2 linked regions of the Caenorhabditis elegans genome follow. The protein of the gene in region 1 interacts with the protein of each later gene in a pairwise test. Each region holds a gene or a part of one and is shown on either strand. Other genes may lie near its edges.

The links.
Region 2: the proteins of T23G11.7 (region 1) and ape-1 interact in a two-hybrid assay, tested with the Caenorhabditis elegans proteins (one large-scale study listed by BioGRID).

The regions. Positions count from the first base shown.
Region 1 is NC_003279.8:7,676,115-7,682,398, reverse strand, and holds T23G11.7 (HAUS6_N domain-containing protein), read right to left. Parts: upstream 2,952-6,284; 5' UTR 2,944-2,951; coding exon 2,847-2,943; intron 2,666-2,846; coding exon 1,677-2,665; 3' UTR 1,566-1,676; downstream 1-1,565. Other genes in the region: golg-5 (Golgin-84), read right to left, coding at 3,606-3,866, 3,919-4,273, 4,442-4,599, 4,644-4,863, 4,918-5,149, 5,197-5,354, 5,400-5,599, 5,646-5,717; F26A3.7 (uncharacterized protein), read left to right, coding at 6,279-6,284.
Region 2 is NC_003283.11:11,673,389-11,680,771, reverse strand, and holds the start of ape-1 (Apoptotic enhancer 1 protein), read right to left. Parts: upstream 4,835-7,383; 5' UTR 4,811-4,834; coding exon 4,751-4,810; intron 4,517-4,750; coding exon 4,385-4,516; intron 2,778-4,384; exon of another isoform or gene 2,573-2,777; intron 1,060-2,572; exon of another isoform or gene 852-1,059; intron 648-851; exon of another isoform or gene 501-647; intron 289-500; exon of another isoform or gene 156-288; intron 1-155. UniProt on the Caenorhabditis elegans protein: Negetively regulates apoptosis via its interaction with cep-1.

The DNA.
Region 1 (6,284 bases):
AATTCAGAATCAAAATTTTTCGTTGAAAAAAGCAAAGAAATATATGCAGTTTCTGAAATCCTAAAAAAGGATGTCGTCGAAAATTTTTCACTTTTTTCATTTTTGGTTTTTAGATTTCAAAAAAAAAGAAAATCCGACACCCTTTATCTTCACTTTTTTGAAACGAGTTATTCAATTTTAAGCTGTGTATTTTTTTTTCTGTTTCAAATATTTTCTAACCTGATGGGACATTCGGAATTCCACCTCCAAATCCAAATCCAGGAGCCGGTGGTTGATTATAACTGTGCTCCTGTGGCCCTGATGAAGATGGAGCATTTGGTTGGAATTGTGCTCCAAACTGTGACAAATCTAAAAGTTCAAAATGCTTTTCTTGAAAATTCTATGAAGAATCTCGAAGCCTACCATCGTCCGCATCTTCTGTCTCTTGACTACTTGGTACATAAGGTGTTCCATCTCTCAAACATGTGAAAATCTGTGTGCTCTTCCATTTAGCATATTTCTTTGATGAAAGGAATGGCTCATCAATCTGCAAAAAAACTTTGTTTCAATATATTTCTACCAGAACTATTGTTTTTTTATTTTTTCGAACCAAAAAACCAAAAACAAAACCGACTTCTTAAAATTTTTAATTTAGTTGGGTAAAATAAGAAATGTATTATTTTTGTTTTTTGGTATAAATTAATTAGTATAAATACTCAGATCTACTTACCTCTCCAAACAGAGAAAGAATATCCATGACATGTCCTGCAGTGTAGAATGCGTGGACTACGGATTTATCGACCTGAAATAGTTCAATTCTGATTCTGATTTTGCCGGTTTTTCTGAATAGCTGAATAACAAAATTTTTTAGTTTTTTAAAATTTGGCTCAGAAACTGATAAATCGAAAAAAAAGCTTTAATGTTTTCCATCCTGGAAAAATGGGAAATTTCTGTTGTTGGAAAACCGGAATATAAATACTAAATTTTTTTTGAAAGAGAACGATTTTTAAAGGTTTTCAGAAGCATTTTCTGAAAAAAAAATTCGGTTTTGCTCTAAAAAAACGGAAAAATGGAAAAATTTTTCGCCGACACCCTGATCGAAAATCTTTGATTTTTGAGGGGAACATTTTCATTATATTTTAGCCATTTCTCATGTTTTTGAAAAAAATTATTTTTTTCGTTTACTTATTAAAATTAGCATTTTTGAAAACATCAAAATTCGATTTCTACTGAATCGAAATATTTCTGATTCAGAAAACAAATTTAAATCAACTAACATTTCCTGTTTTCTCTTTCTTGTCGGCAAAGTTGAAGAGCTTTTCAGCAAAACTTTCAATGTGTGCTTGAGCAATTGTCTGAAAAAATTTTTTATACAGTCATTTGAAAATTAAAATCTCACCTCATTTTTAATAGCATCATTGTCAGCCAATTGAGTTTTAATCGCTTCAAGAGTTGTGAGAAGTCCAGTCAGATATTGACGTGCTTCGACAGTTGATTTATCAAGCTTCATGGCAGTTTGAACAGCATAGAAGAGACCTGTAGAGGATTAAATGTTTAGAAAATGAATAAATTCAGATTAGGAAATTATACAATGTTTTTTATTTGCAAAAGCATACGGACACTGGGAATGTAAAAAAGGATTGATGGAATAAATCAGACTTCCGGGGATCACTTCACAGAGGAAATAACTGAATAACCTAACTATGGTAGGAAATGTTTGGAATTTGATAATCAATCAATAAGTTTGCGGGACTAAAGATACTATTAATGGGTCTCTCGAAAACAGTTTCCTTGCGAATAACTAATCGAATCCATTCTTCAAGTGTTCCGAGAATTCTGTCAGTCGCCATTGTCGGAATTCCACAACTTTCACGAAGATGACTGATATTTTTACTCAACCAGGACATTCCCTCAATCAGTTTCTCACGATCTGCCTTCTTCTTCCAACATTTCTCCGTGAATATTGAACTTTTCTGATCAATTGGGTTGATGATTTGAAGATTTGTCAGAATGGGATATTTTGGAGCAAAGTGTAGAACTTTACAAATCACATTGAAGAGATGAGTCAGATTTTGAAGTGCGGTTAGAGTTGGAGCCTCCGAGTGATTGAAAATGTGAGTGATTTGAGGAATATGAAGTCCACGGATCGTATCGATTAGCTGACATTGACAGTTTTTAGTAGTAATTGCTTCAGATGCTGGCCCTCCATCGATCTTCACTTTGAACAGGTCCATGACTTCTTTGATCAATGTGAGCTTTCTATATGCAACTAATCTGATCAATACATTGATTGATTTCACTTCTTTATCCTTTTTGGACTGATTTTTATTTATTTGTAGCTCCATAATTTCAATTTTCTGCTTCAAACTCTCCTCAAAATTTTGCTTTTTGGAAAGTTCTTCGTTCACTTCTGAAAGCTTTCCTTTTCCAATAAGTATCTTCTGATTAATCTTTGCAATTTTTTCTCTCAGCTTTTCACACGAAACATTTTTCTGTTCAATTTCCATTGATATATTTTGTGCTCTTTGACAATTATTCACAACTCCACCAGGTTCATCAATATATTCTCGGAGTGAATCTCTATCATTGATATGATCTTTTTCCAGGCGAATCGATGTTTGAAGTAGTTTCCACGATATTTCATCGAATGTTGTCTCCACAGGACCAAGTGCCATACAGAGCAGGGCTGTGCGATGATAAAGTTCACAATTTTTAAAGATTTTCGTTACTTGGTATTTAATAAAATTTCCGCACAACCCTGTTAGTATTTACAAATAGTTAGATAAAAGCTCAAACAAAAAAGCGGGGAAAATGAGATATTCGGTTCAAATGAATAGTTTGGTCAAAATATTTGAAAAATAACTTACACCAGTAATAAATGACCGGATCGCGGCTTGCATTCTCGTTAGCAATCTTTATGTAGTGAGCAATTGGTTTGAATGCTGGTGGGAGATTCGCAGACATTTCTGAAATGTCGAAAAATTAATTAAAAATAAACAAATTTCGTATAAACTTCTAAAGTACGATTAAATAAATATTAAAACTCTTTCCCGACAATAATTATTCTAAAATTTCGCAAGAAAAGGAAAAATGAATGAAATCATTGCTACTTTTATCGCAAGAAAACGAACTGAAGAGTTGTAGAAAACAGAAATCGAAGTATGACTCAAACAGTTTCCCCTATCACTCTGCGTCTCTTCATCCTCATCATTGGCGACATTCGTCACTGCTATTTGTTTTGAAATCAAATAAATGGAAAATGGAGGATGAAATTGACAAGAATGACAGCAAAATCGATAATCTCAGATGTATTGAAGGCGGAAATTTATATGAAAACCGCAAAATTTTATAGACAAACAGGGAAAATCCTACATTAGCTGATGTTTATTTTTATTCACATAGTTCGGATCTAGACCAGTCATTATTGTATTTTGAAGAGAATGAATTATTTTAGGACAAAAAAAAAGCGAAAATGGGGTACGGGAAAAGTAACAGCGGGTATCACACTGGAAAATAATCGAAAAAAGAAAAGAAACACTAAACCAAGTAAAAACTAACCATGCAGTATATGTTAATCCCAATATATTATACAAACATACATAATAAGGAACACAACCGTGATTAAATCAATGAATCTCTGGGGTATACGTGAGAACAATGAAGAAAAGCCATAAATGCATTATGATAAAGTACAAAACAAAAAAGAGGCGGGCTGATGGATGTCCGCGGAGCATTGATAACAATTTGAATGCCGTCGAATCTACAGTGTGAAGAGCATTTCGAGTTTGTGGATTATTGATATTTGATAGAAGTGGATGAGATGATGACGTGTGCATTGGAGATGAATTCGAGTCCACAGCAATCGATGTTTCACGATTTGTAGCTTTCTAAAAACAGAATATTACAACTTTTGATATTCATAAATTGATAGTTTCTCACCTGAAGTCTTTCCAATCTCACATTCAACACTTGATTATTTCTTAAAACATCTTCCAATTGTTGTTGCTTCTGCAGTAAAAGATCAGTTAGTTGTGATGATCCATCATCTTCCTGCTTCGTTTGTTCATCTCGCATTCGTGAACGCAAGTCGCTAATCGTCTTTCTCAACTCATTTTCCTTCTCGAGCATTTTAGATTGATGCTGATCACCTTGTCTTTTCATTTCTTGTTTTGTGAACTCATTTTCAATTCTTGAACATTCCACTTTCTCGTTTAGAAGACCAATTGTGCTATCCCATGTCTGCTTCTCCTCGAGATGAGTTCGTTTTTGGTCCGACAATTGAGATTGGAGATCTCTTAAAAGTGGAAATTGGAACAGTACTAAGAATTTCTCAAAAAAGCCTCTTTTTTTTGAATTAAAAAATTAAAAAGCTATTAATTAAAAGCTCGACCATCGAGTATGGGAGAGAATTTGAATTTTCGTCATAAATCCGAAATGTGAAAAATTTAAGGAAAAACCTTACCTTATCTGAGCTTCCAATTCTTCCATATCAGATCTCAAGGTATAAACTTGAAGTTGTGCAGATTCTAAATCGGCTTTTGTAAGGTCTCTTTCAACTCTGATCTCTTCAACTTCAGCTTGAAGAAGATGAACAGGACGATCACTGGATCCGATTCCTTGCTGAATTGAATTTTAATATCAATCCTCGGTCAAATCTCTCAAACCTCTGACTTCAGCGACTCCACCAGTTTCTCTTTAGCTGTCAAAATTTTCTGCGCCTTGTTCTTGTACTCATCAAATTCTTTTTTGTTCTCATTCAGATTGAACTTTGCCAGCCTCAACTGTTCGACCATCGCACGAATTTCTTCTTCCAAACCAACTATTTTTCTCTTATGCATGTTACACTCCTCCACTGCTTTCTCTTTTTGATCTTGTGCTTTTTGTCTAGAAAACTTGAATTAAATGCAAAACAACACGTCAAGATGTTAATATAATTACCTGGCTAATTTCAATTCTTGAAGACTATCCATTTCATGACTTGATACTTTTTGGTTTTCAACTCTCTTCTCTAACATTTCCTTTTCAGCTTTCATCTCGTAATAATCTTGACTACGTTTTTCAAATTTTCTTTCCACTTCAGAAAGTTTCGTTTTTAATACTGATATTTGAGAATCCTTTGCAAATAATTGAGATTTAAAATTGGGACTCGAATCGTTTCCCGCAAATTCTGCTGAAAAATCAAAATTCAAAAGTTTCGTAAGAATCGTCAAAACATACAGGTAGTTCGAATACTAGCAACACTACGGCCTCCAACACTCCTCTGACTTCGTGTATCTTCATCTGGTTTTGCATTTTTTACTTCTTTCGAGTTTAAAACCATCGTCCAACTTTCAGATGCTGCTGTTACTCCTGGCTGATGAGTCGATGAACTACCCCTGAAATTTTAAATGACACATGTGAAGAAAATCAGAATAACGAACTGTTCATAATTTCTTCCTCCTCTCCATCCGGCTCCGGTATAATCACTCTGAGCTCTCGAGGGAAGAGATGGAGCCGGTCTGCCGAAATCTTCAGTGATAACATGTTCTGGCATCGAAATAATCGTTGCTGAGACGCTGGCGGTACTTGATTTACGTGTTCGAGGAGCGGAATCTCTGGCATTTTGAATTGCGTCTCCAGTCTGTAACATTTATTCTGTACATAGAAACATTAGTTTCAAGATTTGCCTTTTCATCAAGTTTATTCAAAAGATTTTCGGCCGCTCCGGCAATATCGGACACTTTAGACAACCATGACATTCGTGTTTAATTCTCTGTAAAAACAAGTTATTCATTTTACGTGGGTTTGAATAATCGTTTAAATAAAAGTTTCCAATGTATGACAAACGAAAGATATGCGTTTCAAAACATGTATTTCAGAAAATCGATTACGAAGCATAAAAACAAGAACAAGCTTTGAAAGAACGTGGATTCGTCAAGTTCGGTCATGAGAAACCTAGACCCCAATTTCTAGGCCACCGAACAATGATAGAATTTTTCCTGATTTTATAGATTTACCTCAATAATTTTAATACATTTTCAATTTTAATATATTAATAAACATATTAAGAAAATATTCAAGAAAATATTTGGGATTCATCATCAATTTAGGAACACCTGGAAAAAGTCAAAGTTTCATGTTCAATGGAGCGCGTAGGCTTGTCACAAATGTTAGTCCTCGAATGTGCTGATTTTCTTATTTAAATTTTTTTTAAAATTAATTTTGTTCGATTCTTCCAAACTATGTTTTTAGACAACATGCATAAATATCCGACAGAAATTTATATAAAATATTTCGAATAACTCCATTTCAGTTTAGATATGTCA
Region 2 (7,383 bases), on another chromosome or scaffold:
AGGACGACTTTGACACGCTTCATCACCTTTAGACCTAGTAGCATCGTCTTGCGTAATCGCCCGAGGAAATCGGCGACAACGAGGAGATGTTTGAAGAAAAAAGGACCCAGAAGTTTTATTATTACCTCCTCCTCTTCCTCATCTCTTTCCGTCTCCTTACTTTTTATTCCCCCGTTTCTCCAGCTTTTGCGACCACATGCGCGCCGCGCATATCTCCTCTATCTATATTCCCTATCGTTTGTGGACAGACGCAGATTCGCGTTGCGACGTTGCTGCAAAAGTCAACGCTAAGCCAAACAACAGGTTTACGAACAGTGTGAAGCCATTGCCAATAAGAGAGATGATGATAGAGAAAAATAACTGTGAATACATGCGTTTCAAATTGAAACTGTTTCAATTGGTATTACCTATGGCGAACAATAATAGCATGTGCTGAGCAGCTAAAAAACAAAAGGAATAGTAAGAAATGGAAGAGTGAGAAATGTTTGAGAATGACCAGAGGACTCAAGTCAAAAAGATTGCGCGAAGCGATAGAGACCTTCCTCTTCTTTTTTTGGTGGTAGTAGTTTGTTTCGGGACGAAGACGAGAAACGGCGTCCCGTCCCATAAACCTCTATTATATTCCAACAGGAAGATGAAAAGGGTGTGAGCTATTTAACCAATAGTTTACAACTAACAATTATATTGTAAAACTGTGGAAACTATGCCTTATGTAAACTTGAAGAAATCAAATCGAATTAAATGGATGTATGAGTTAACTTCAACATCAATAATTATTGATGAGTGTGAACGGTGCAGAGCACAGTGTGGGTAATGACGGTGAGTTGGAGGTTCTACAGTGCCGCCATCGGAGCTTGCCGACGCGCGCACGGAAAGCGTAAAAAACAGTCGGCAAGACTCTACGAGACATAAATATCGTTTCTATTGGTGGGCAGCGGCCGCACGTGGTCTCTCGCGGCTTGTTGTCGAGACAATCAAAACAATAAGAAAACAGTAGGAGACGGCACACGGCTCACTATAGGAAGCACTCGAGAAATCGAGATCTATATTGCGAAAAGTATCGGAAGTACGGGAATCAAGCACAGATAGTTGAGCGTCATGATCTGATCTTTCAGTGGAAATCGAGTGTTAATGATCAAGAGCAAGAATATTATATATATAAAATGGCTAAATTTGTTAAATTCTAGGATCTATTTGGAATACGAATTTGACAGGTGCAGAAATTAATATCCCTGAATCAGAAAGAGCCCGTGAGATAATTATTGGATTTAGAGAGTCTATCAGTTATTGGTAACTGTACACTAGGTAATGTTTCAGAGTAAAAATGAGGCAAAAAGAGAAATAGAATGAAATTTGAATTAGTCTATGAAACATGAACCTATTTAAATTATCAATTTGATAATTTCAAACAAAGATTAATATTTCAAATATATTCTCCTTTTCGACAAGAAGCTTCTTTGATAGGATAAAAAGCTCAGCAGGAGGCCCTACGATGGGAAGGAACGTGTATTTTGGAACAAAGTGTGGATCGTTGTCGTTGTCTTCGTGCTGGTGGTGTTCTGTTCAATTGAAAATCCCGAAAGTGAAACATGTCGTAAATGTTGTGTCTATGCGCCCTCATGATGATCTGACGAACTTCTCGCACAAAATTAATAATGAAGTAGAAGAAAGAGTGAATTAAAAATTAATTCAAAACAAACGAAAGACGCTTTTGAACAAACTATTGAGGAATTTAGCAAACATAAAATAATAGAAGAAAATCTGTTTTGATTTTAATTTCTACGACAGTCACCGACAATTCGCATTAAATCGCATACCAAACTGAGGCGATTCGGACAACGATTGTGTTGATGGTTGTTGGTGTATTGAAAAGCATGAAACTAAGCTGAATGTATTTAACGGAATAGAAAAAGGATTCAACTGGTCGACGAAAAGTTACAGAATGAAAAAGTAAATGTCAAAACTTCAACACTTCAAACCTATGCAAGAGATGACTTTTATATTACTTAAATCGGTTTCCCTTTCAATTGGATCAGATGTGGTAATAAGAAAAAAGTCGTGTTGGCGAACGGAAGATAAAAAAAAACAAGTGTTTTCAAAATGATGATATCACATGTCACATTTTAGCTTTAGAACTCTTTCGGGCCACCGGAAGAGAAATGAACATTAAACACCGGAAGAGAGTAAAGAAAAATTTCGGCGAACCAAACATGTATCCCATTTTGACCGATCAAAAAAAAATGTTTTACTTAAATGAAGCGATTCTCAAAATTTCTAATCAGTTTTTTTTCAAGAATATTTTAAAGAGTATGGCATTATTTGTAGTGGCTGCCACCATAGAATAGTATCTTCTGTCATAAAATACTACAACAACAATCATTGAACAGTCACCGACAGCCTCGCGAAGATGAAAAAATACTTTACAATTGTAGAATAATAACGCTTAACACGTAATACATATCATTATGCATAATGACTTGACGACAGTCTCGATTACACTACAAGAAAAAAAATAACATCTATAACTTTATGCGACTCTACGACGACAACATAGAAAGATGATGGAATTGAAAGAGAAGAAGCCGAGAGAAGCGTACGCTCACACACGCGTTCACTCACACAATTGCGCAATTAATTTAGTTGTAATACGCGTTGCCGACGTGCGCAAGACTATGCAACGATGAGAAGGAAGTGAGTGAAAAGTGAAAAAAAAAAACAAAATTTATAATCGAAAATTAATCGACTGACCAGTTTTTTTTTGGCGATCTTTCCTTCACAGCCACAGATTTTTTTTGATAAAATAATTAAACAAAAATAAAACAGTTGTTGTCTATTATCAACAAAAAATATTCGTGTACGCTAGAGGAGGAACTTTTTTTTACTTTTTAATATTCACGAAGAGCTTTTGGCCAGTGGGTCAAGAAAATAAAAATAGAAGAGAATTAAAATGAAGAAATAAGTCGGAGAATCCAATATAGGGGAAAGCTTGAATGATAAATCGAGGTTAATCGGCAAGGCGCGTACGGCGTACGCACACGAATACTTCGTCTATCTTTCTGTGTCTCTCTTCAAAGGTCAGACTTTCTGTTACGAGAGAAGAAGAAAATGAAGATGATGAGAAAATTGTTTCAATTTCGTGGAGGGCAAAAGTAAGAAGGGGAGAACGCCAATTGGCATCTTCTTTCAATTGACCGATCCACGAAGAGCACTCACTACTATCAATGATATGTGGTGATTAGGTACCGAAAGATAAAAAAGAGAAATTTTTAAACTAAAAGTGGTCGTGAACCTATGGAAAGACTATTTATCATCAGGAATTTGAATTTTTATATTGACTAAACTATTTTATGAAAATGTTTTTGATAATCTTAAAGGAGGATTTCGAAAAATGGGGATACATTTTTAGAAAACTCTGAAAATTCCAATTTACTGAAATACCACGAAAGAAAAAAGAAAAAATTACTAAAGATCAAAAATTCCAACTTTGAAAAGTGTGAATTTACATATCTCGAAGCCACACCCAGTTTCGAACCAATCAGCGTCTTCGTCTGATTGGTAAAAAAGTGGGCGGAGCGAAATGCTGATTGATCGCAGTTTTATTTTTGGAGGAAATTAAAATAGGGAAAAAATTGAAAAAGAGCGTTTTTGAAAATTGGAATTTTTGATCTTTCTTAATTTTTTCTATTTTTCTTTTGGGAAATTTCAGTTTGTAGGCATATTCCGAGTATTCTGGAACTGAATCAAAAATTTACTGATTTTATTTCCATCAAAAATTTACTTGATTGGTATAAATTTTTCCGAATCAATCTCGATCAACTAAAAAAAGCAAGTCATTTTGATCCATCTGAAGGTATCACGCGAGACTAATAATCTCTGATGCATTCCTATCCGTTTCTGATCTTCGACAATCTTAACCAATTCAAACCAGGACCTATCTTAAAATATAATATTTTTATCATTATTTTATGGCGATTGTGATGCGTTGATGTCTGCCTACCTGACTTATGGCCCGGCAGAAAAAAAAAAACAAAACGTGACACTTCAAATCAAAATTAGATGACTTTTTTCTACGCTAAGATACGCTATTGAGGTGTTCTCTCCTTTTCTGACTATCTTTTTTTGGGAAGGTGATGATACAATTGCGTGAGATGCAAAAATTCAAAGAATTCCGTTACTCTCCCCGCAAAAAAACTACAAATTATCAGAACCTAGCCATCATCCATCAAACGGATTGTTGAGATGAAGGGAGAAACCAATTGAATTATATGAAGAATTTCCGTTATCGAGTTTTCTTTTTCAATTTTTTCTAATAAAATCTTAATAGCATTTCCGTTTCTTGAAAATTTTGTTCCGCATTTTTTCATTTCAAACAAAAAAAACTAACTCGTTGATTTGCGGAGATGAACGGAGCCGTCGAAGATTTATGAGCCATCGTAGATGCCATTGATGACGTCGGACGGTATATTGGGGCAGTTGAAACAGTTCGTACAGAATCCGACGAGTGAATCAGAGACACCTGGAATATGAAAAATGGATAATCGTCAAACATCTGCTAATCTAACAGTAGACCTTAAATATTTTTTGAAAAATTTTTATCGACACTGAAATTTTTATTTTTAGATTTTTTTTTAAACAAATTATGATTTCGTCACAGTTCACGTACTTCATGAATCACGTGAATATAAGATTTACAAAAATAGATCAATCCCTTTTTGTAACAATTTGAAAAATAATTAATCTCGATTCTCACCTGTGTGACACCGTTGTTTGCCGGGTACCCTATACCCCCTCCGCTACTGGTCGTGACCATCTCGTTGAGAACTGAGATCTGAAAATGGAGGGAAGATTAGTATAATTTTGTTTGAAAGGATTGAGAGAAAATGACAAAGAGCAAACGTGAATCGTAATACTGAACTTTTCTTTAAAAAATCCAAAATTGTCTAAAATTCAGAAATGCCACAGAAGAAGAACGAATAAAATCGAAGAACAACGAAAAATTGAATTTTTAAATTTTGGCTAAATTCCATGCTTGAATTTCCAAAATGAGAATTTCGACCGTTTTTTTTCGTGAAATTTATGACAATTTTCAATTTTTCAAAATAAAAACAAACTTCTTTTAATTTTTCACATTAACACGGTGGTTTGAAGATATTATAGAACAAAAATAATATTTCACCGCCATTAAAAATGATCAAAGAGGAATTGAACCATTGAAACAGAAAAATCAGGAGAGAGTCCAAAAACATAACAATGAAAATTATCAAGTAGCCGTGTTATTATAGTTTTCTGTATCTAATTACGAATTATTATCATTTCGTAATAATACCGTTTAATCAGTGATAAGGTGTTAATAACTTACATATGAAATTTTGCTGAAACTTCAAACTTGCTGATAAAACGCCTCACATGCTAAAAACGTAAAAAAGAACGAGCCGTAACAAAAATAACGAAGAGAAGGAGGACCTGCGATTGAATGATCAGAGGAGCGCGCGCGCAAGGGAGCGTATGCATGTGTTGGTTCGAAAGATGACGACGAGCCAAAGTAAACACGGCCTCTTAGATATTGGGGTCGTCCCTCTGTGCCTCTCTCTATTCGCTTCGTTTATTATCAACAAACTTTTCTTATTTCTCACAGTCTCGTACCACATATCTTCAAAAAGAGACTTGGCACAATGCCAAAACGGCTTTCGGTGTAGAATGAGAGATACACAGACATTGAAAAAGAGATCGGGGACATCAACCTTGAAATGGATCACCGGTTGATTAACGACCAAAAATAGGAGAAGAACACCGGTAAATGTGGGTTGCTAGTTATGGTCCGTAAAAAGTGAAGTTGCGAAAAATTATTTTTCTGATGATCAAATCGTTGACAATTGAGCGAAAATGGGGGCAGAAGTAGAAGAGTGCATGATGAATAGAGGAAGGAAGAGGTCCACTTGAAATAATTCCGAAAGTGGCCTATTCAGTCGAGAATTGGCTGCTTCGGAAGCAGAACAAGCACAAAAGAGTGGAAGGAAGAGGAGAAAACTCAATTTCGACAAATTCTTTCTCTTGTCACTAACGAAACTCGAATGGTCATCAGGAAACGAAAAGGAAAAAGTAAAAATGTTCCGGTTCTTTTAATTCAGGATTTTATTTTGAGTTTTTAAAATAGGTTCGCGGTAGAGAAAATTTTTTTTAATTGCATCGATTATATAAAATTACAAATCAAGTTTGTCCAAATGAAAAGAACATCATTGTTTTGTTCGCTACAAGGAGAAAACTAGAAGCGAATTGGAGCTTTTGCTCCCGCACATTTCAATTGTTTGAAGTGGGAACAAGAAGAGTGCACTTTCTATTGGAAATGTGCTCAATGATTGTTTTTCTTTGTCAATAACTTAAAAGTAAATTGAAAGCCGTTTAAATATTTTAAGTAAAAATTAAAATTCAGAGTTCCTTATCCAAAATAAACAAAAAAAAGGTAGAAAGAAGGAAGCTGGCTGAACCAATTTCTCATACGGACCGTTCGACCGTTCGGGCGTGTCAACGATGTGAGTACAGGAATGGAGGGACGGAAAAGGTGAGCACGGGAGTGCATTAGAGAGAAGATACGCAGAATGAAAAGGCACATGAGAGACATAGTTGATTGAAGAGACGCAGAGCATAATCGGTTCTGTTGAATACAGGCAAAAGAAAAGGATATTTGTGTGCGTTTGTTGTGAGGGCAAGAAGGTCAGAGGAGAGCGACCGTTATTCTAATGAGAGAGAGTGACTAGGAAGACAGAAGAGACGGAGAGAGGGAAATATGAAAATACGTCATTTCTGAACTGATCGCCGGAAATGATTGAAATATTGCGCTATAGGTGAGATCTTTATCACAGAAAGCGAAAGCTAGACATCCAAAAAGTAAATACCTTCGGCGCTCTTTTCTCCTGCGAAACGAGCGAGCTCATCGTTTTGCCCACAAGGGTGCGGAAAACTTTTTCTTTCGGTTTTTTCGCCGAAAAGGGAGAAAAAAAAATGTGTGATGAACAATTCGTGTTTGTCTTCCAGCGATCAGTGTGACGAAAAGAAAAACTGAGAAAACAGCTGGTTTCAGTATTCAAAAGATGTATTGTTTAAATTTCACTGTGAAATAAAGAAAACACAGTAGGAAACGACTGAAATCTGATATTTTTACGTTAAAAACTATAAAATTGAAGAAGTTGGGATTATTGAAAGCCACTAAATAACAAAAAATCGGGAAAAATCATGAGAGAAAAGAAAAAGAAAAACAAGAACAAGAAGAAAATGAACAACACGCCGCCGGAACAGTAGCACGTTTTAAAGCCGCACTCACATTGATATGCAAAGGGTCTCGACGCGATGTCAGTGAAGGTACGTTAGGGAGAAAGTTTTAAATTC